Arabidopsis thaliana: one gene and its partner. The protein of the gene in region 2 interacts with the protein of the main gene of each other region in a pairwise test. Each region holds a gene or a part of one and is shown on either strand. Other genes may lie near its edges.

Region 1 (3,364 bases), about 15 Mb from region 2:
GATAGTGTTTCAAATGTTGATGAAAATAATGAGGCCGTAGATGAGAAAGACGACGATGAAGACGATAAAACAAATGAGGATGAAGAGGAGGGGGACAACAAAGATGGTGGTGGGTATGATGATTATCAGGGTGACGATGGATCTATAGGGGGAAGTACCCTCGATCCTACTATTGATGGTAGTGAAAGTAGTGGCGAAGATTATGATTACAACAAGTGGAACGATGTAATTGTAGAAGAATATGGAATAGGGAATGTTGACGAGAACGTCATTCTCACACCAGGGGAATTCAGTCGTCTGTTGGCAGAGTGTACGTACACAAGTCAGCGTGTACCTGGCGGAGATAACATTTCTCACTCGGGTGACCGTACACCAGTTGTGACTCGAAGAAGTATGTGTCAACATGGTTTGTACCAATGTACCTACACTATAGATTGGGAAGTGTTTTTAAGAACAGAAAAATCATACAACAAACAATGTCTTATCTCAGCCACTGCCAATATTGGTTTAATATTGTATTAATAAATTTTTCTTAATAATTTCATTCACAAACAAAGATGTACGTATATTATTACACATGTACATACATTAATTTACCAACAAAAATGTACGTACATTATTTCACCATCTATTTTTATTTAATTATTATGTATGTATTGAGATTATTGAGATATAAGAATACGTAATAAAATAGTTTGAATTATTAGAAATCGTCTCATATATGTTCCATAAATAATTTCGTGTACGTACACAGAAAAAATTCGATGAAGGGTATAATTGTAATTTTCCAGTCATCTTCAACCTGTGTATCCTTTTCTGCAAACCTAATTTTGCGGCCGTCTTTATCAGTTTTCTCAAAATCTCATTTTTTTACGTTTTGATTACTATTTATAAATAAATCTTGTAAACTTAGAGTATCTTTAGTTTAAAAAGCTAAAGTGTTTGTATCTAGGAGCTTTTTTTTTGCATTTTGTTCATCTCTGAAAACAAGAAATTTGTTCCTCAATTTTGGAGTTCAATGGAGAGATGTCGAAATATGAAGGAGTGGATAATGAATTTTGAACTTCTTTCTACTTCTCTCTCGAATTACTCCGTCTCTTTCTCTTTTTCTTCTTCTTTGTTTCTTTGTTTCAGTGTTTTTTTTTTGTTTTTTTCAAAACTGAACCATTAAGGATAAACCAAAATCACAAAACCATTAAGGGTAAACCATTAAGTTTCAAAACAAAACCAGAAAAACTAAACCGAAATCAAGTGCTGTGTGATTTGGTTGCTCCCATTAAGGGTATTTTAGTCTGAAAACAACTGAAAAGACAAACGGTAAAAACCATATCTCACTTTGACAAACCATGAGAGCAATTCTTTTTTCATCCAGTGAAAATTTCTTTTTATTAAATCTATAAAATACGGAAATCAAATCTATACTCGTATTTCCTTTTCTTACCGATGAGCGTGAGTGGTTATGAAAACCAAATCTTTACTTCTACATCTATAAATATATGATTTTACTCTCCAAACCTAATACATTAGTTTCACTCTCTCAATTTTATTCTTCTTCGCCTTCGTGCTTTCTCTTAACTTTGAACGTGAAAAAAACAGAGAGTTTGTCTTCGAAACCAACAAGAAGATGACTATGCGATCATTACCTTTTTCCTCTTCTTCTTATTCACTCGCTTCCACAAGTTTGAGTAACAGACTTGAGACTATATTCAAGAAAGCTTCAGAGCTTTGCACTCTCTGTGATATCGAAGCGTGCGTCATCTATTACGGACCAGACGGAGAACTTAAGACATGGCCTAAGGAGAAAGAGAAAGTGAGAGACATTGCTCTGAGGTATAGTCAATTAAACGAAGCCTTGAGAAGCAAGAAAAGCGTTAATCTTCATGGGTTCCTGAACAAGAAGAAGAAGAAGAAGAAGAAGGGTTTGAAGAATCCGAACAATAAGAGGAAGACTTGTCTTAAGAAGAACGTGAATGTTTTAAAGTATCCACTCGCTGATCATTACCCTCCCGACCAAGTTTCTCAACTGACTCAGTCCTTAAAACTCCATGTCTCTAAATTCCAAGAAAGGCTTCGATTTCTTGAGTCGCAGAAACAGACAAAACCGGATCATCAGAGTTTAACACCATCCTCTTTGAATCATCAGACCCAATCTTTGAACCCTAGACAGTTTTCGCTGTTTATGTATAACCATGGAGACAATACTCTGTCTCAGATCTCAGTCTCTGCATCAAATTTCAATCAGAATTATTTCTCAGCGTTACTTGAACAATCTGAGTTGAAGAATCAGTTAATGAAGCAGGATGGTTATGATCAGAATCAGAACATGAGGATGGGTGACATCACCAACAACAATTTTCAACTTCCTTACTTCTCAAAGAAAGAAGCGGTACAAGAATCTGTGAACTACTTTGGGATGAATCAGTTGATGCTGAAGGAGTTATATGGTTGTGATCAAAACATGTGTATGGGTAACATCAATAGCAACAGCTTTCAACATCCTTGCGTCTCAAAGGCACAACATTACTCGGCGGTAGAAGGATCTGTCAATAACCAACGACAATCTGAGTTAATGCAGCAGGAGCTTTGTGGTTATGAGCAGAACATGTGCTTTACCAACAACAATTTTCAAGTCTCAAACAAAGAAGCGGTTCAAGAATCTGTGACTAATTTTGGGTTGATGCAGCATGAACTTTATGGGTGTGATCAAAACATGTCTATGGGCAACATCATTAACAACAGCTTTCAACAGCGTCTCAAACACAGAACAAGAATCTGTGAATAACCCCTGGTTGAATCAGTTGATGCAGCATGAACTCTATGGCTATGATCAATGGTGAAGTAGCGGAACAGAGATAGTGAAGCTGTTTTCTTGAGTCTTGATTCACTTGTTAATTTTTATTTTTGAGTACGCTTGTTAATCTGTAGAGATTTCGTTCTGAGTTTTAAAGTTACAACTTGTATTTTCGGTTTAGTTATTACATATATATGATATAAAAACTCGAGCAATCTTTAACTAACATGTTAAATTGAGGCACATCGACGAAACTCAAAACAACAAGCAATACAGTAGCAAGTAGCAGAAACAAGCAAAGCAATCAAACAATTGTGGTGATGAAACATGTAGTAAAGTAAGAGAAGCTTGCCTATTAGTAACATCCAATTAGAATTGTATCACAAAGTAGGGCAAGTAAATCATTTTTGACTAGTGTGTAACTTGTATACTATCTCCATCACTAATGTTCACTCTCATCTCTGAAAATTATGATGGTGTAATAAGAGAACAATAATAAATTCTTCAAACAAAAAATATCCTCGAATTTAAAATCTTCCAACGCAACTAAAATTTGAAAACAAAAACTGACTG
Region 2 (3,340 bases):
TGACATGCTTTCAATAGACCAAAGCAAAACTCTTAGCTTTGCATCCTCTACACTTCTTATACTAAATATCGCCCGGCGACTGTGAAGTAAAACCACCCAACTCATTTCTTAACACCCAAGCTCCCCCTACATTGCATTTGAACCAATTACAAGGTGTTTTTTCCCAAACTTTCCCCGCCATATAAACACTTCTCTGCATCACGTTTTGAATGGAATCAATTAGCACCGGTTCTTCTGCAATTTGTTATGGAGCCATTCTGCTCTATTTTGGTAAAGCTTTATCTGTTTTCAAGTTATGAAGTAATCACAAAATACTGGCCTAGATGATGACTGGTTTTGGTACTTAATAAGAAAGCAGAGACATTCCTAATCAAAGATTGTCAGACAGATGTTTTCTGTTGTAAGACTCAATATTGGTTTTAATATTATTTGTTGGTTAGATTAGAAAACATCCCACAGTTAAACAAGACACAAGTTGATACAAGAAAAAAAGAGTAGTAAGACTCATTGGTTTTAAACTTTTAATATAAGAAGAAAACATCACACATATAAAACAAGACAAGTTGATAGAAAAGACTACAAAACTTAAAAGAAAAAAGGATGGTTTCTTCATTAGTTAAGGCAAACCAAAACTGAACCGGTTTGAGTTAGATCAACATCCCAGAAATCCAATGAAGCATGGAAAATTGATTGAAGTCAAACCGGAACCTTCCTTGAGTAAAGTATCTCTAACGAAAATAAACCGAAGCAATCCTTGAAACATCTGTTATCTTGGAGGGAGTTTCAAATATCAGCAATGTAAGTCACTGAAATAATCAGAAAAGCAGAGATTATCCTCCGGTAAATCTTTTTGAATCATTAATCCTCCATCTTCAACAGCTTCAGGATTTGAGCACAGATTTTGCTTTGTAGTCACCATCGAGGCATAATCCTCCATCTCACAACTCTTCAAAAGGCTTTCATAGTTTGTCTCAAAATCAAGTAGCTGATCAAGATCTAGCTCTTGATCGAATTCATCCAAGTTTTCAGGTAAAACATTGTTCTTGTCAGAAATCATTAGCATCGTATCCTTGTCGTCCATATCAGACACGTGGATATTGTCCTCATCCATATTTTTGTGAACAACCAATTCTCTATCTTCAACAGTTTCAGAAGCAGAGACGGGGTTTTGATTCGTGGTCACCACAGAGACATCGTCCATGTCCAAGTTCATCGATAGAGCTTCAGCTGTTGACACATAATCAAATATTTCATCAAGATCAAATTCTTCAGTGTTCTTGTTAAACCCATCGAAATTCACAGAACATGATTCAGGATTAAAGGTTTGCTTTTGATGAGTTCCGTGTAAAACACCCTTCTTCTTCACGTCCTCCTCACAATCTCGTTGATTCTGCAAATCCTTCAGATCTTTCAACATCTTCGACATCGAGTCCATTGCGTCTCTCAGTTCCTCCAGGTCCTCTGATTTTGAAAGCCTCTCATCTTCCCACCAATAGTCTAACCCTAGACCTTCCCGAGGACGCTGATTCGTGAGGAAAGCGGCTACAACGTTATCAACAGAGGAATGGCCAAAGGTGTAGAAAGAAACGTTTGATTTGGAAGAGACCGGAGTGGCTATGATCGCAATTTGTGCATCGGAGAGAAGACAAAGATCAGAGGCTTTGCTATATAGACCCCTACTGCGTTTTGAGAAAGCAACAGCTCTTGAATCTTTCTTCTCTATCAGCTCTATAGAAATCTTTCTCTTCACGCCCCCCATTCTGTGTTCACGATTTCACAGACAAAGAAAGAGAAGGAGAAAAAGACAGAGAGATTTTTGTGTTAGCCTGTTGCGAAAGAATATGATATGGCTACTCTCTGTTTCTAATCGTGTATATATAGACTCTGTGTTGTTACTCGTTTCTAATCAATCGACTATATTTCCTTTTTCTGACAATTAGCTAATCAGTGATTAAACGAACTAAGTATAATTATTTTCCTTTTTTGAAAGTAATGACTCTTAAACCGCCTGAGACGAACCAAACTAAGTACAATCGATTTCCTTTTTTGAAAACTTAACTCGAAAAGCACCTGAAACTAACCATGGCTGGTTCAGTTAAACCATCGATTCTATTTCCTTTTCGTGATAATCTACTAATCACTAATTAATCCAATAAGTATATGTTTCCTTTTCCTTTGTCAAAGAAATTTCCTTTTCTGAAAGAGTGATTTAATCGAAAATTTGGTTCAGTAATAAACAGTTATTTGGTTTAGTCAAACCATCTAAATTATTAGTTTATACTAGCTTAATTTGAAGACATGCAATAATGCAAACCAACTAAAACAAACGTAAATCGAATATGCATGGCTCTATTTAGTAATTGAAGAGTAGGAAAACATTTAATTAAACCAAAGCAAATTAGACAAAATGCGAATTTTCTCTCTTGAACCGGGTTTGGTCAAGTTAAAAGAATCAAAGACGTGGAATCAACGAAACTTAAACCCTAGCTTTAACCCTCGCTCTCAACGGATTCTTCATCACCACCGCGAACACCAATTTGCCGGTGAAATCCACTTGGCTCTCCGGCGGGTACGAGCTCCACTCAAACTCTTGAACCATCCTCGACAGCATTAGCTCCACGTGTACGACCGCCATTCCAAGCCCCGGACAAATCCGACGGCCAATTCCGAACGGCATCATTTTAACTCCGGCGACTCCGGTTAAATCGGCGTCTTCTCCACCTGTTATAAACCGGTCCGGATCAAATTTCTCCGGTTTAGACCATATCTTCGGGTCTTCACTTATACCGGGAAGATAAAACTCAACATTAGCCCCGACGGGAATATCGTAACCCGCGAGATTAGTCGGCTCCGTAACGCCGTGAGTTAACGTGAAATACGTCGGTGGATGTCTCCGGAGAAGCTCCTTAACAAAAGCTTGTAAAAAGACCATTTTATTCAAATCTTTCTCCTCAACCGTTCGATCATCTCCCACCGTTGATTTAATCTCATCGTACAGCCGAGATTGAATCTTCGGATTCGATATCAGCTCCGCGATTCCCCACTCTATCGCCGTCCCCGTCGTATCCGTACCGGCGTTGAGAAACTCTGAACACAGCGTCACGAGATCTTCATCTGACGGTGACGTTTCACGACCATCAACTCTGAGATCGAATAAAGTATCAAGATACGCGAAAGACGACGCCGTTTTATCGGAGCCGAGATTTCGAATCGCTAATCGTCGTTTCTCGATGAATCCAACGACGAATTGGACAAGTTTCCGGCGAAGTTCCAGAGAATTTTTCCTCTCCTTGAAGTAAAACGGAGTTAGAATCGGAAGATAGTCGTGAATTCGTGGATC

What was found. The genes of interacting proteins can lie anywhere in the genome.
Region 1: the proteins of AGL99 (region 2) and AGL76 interact in a two-hybrid assay, tested with the Arabidopsis thaliana proteins (one large-scale study listed by BioGRID).

The regions. Positions count from the first base shown.
Region 1 is NC_003076.8:16,050,255-16,053,618, forward strand, and holds AGL76 (AGAMOUS-like 76), read left to right. Parts: upstream 1-1,624; coding exon 1,625-2,782; downstream 2,783-3,364.
Region 2 is NC_003076.8:1,331,244-1,334,583, reverse strand, and holds AGL99 (AGAMOUS-like 99), read right to left. Parts: upstream 1,826-3,340; 5' UTR 1,760-1,825; coding exon 791-1,759; 3' UTR 662-790; downstream 1-661. Other genes in the region: CYP77A9 (cytochrome P450, family 77, subfamily A, polypeptide 9), read right to left, coding at 2,477-3,340.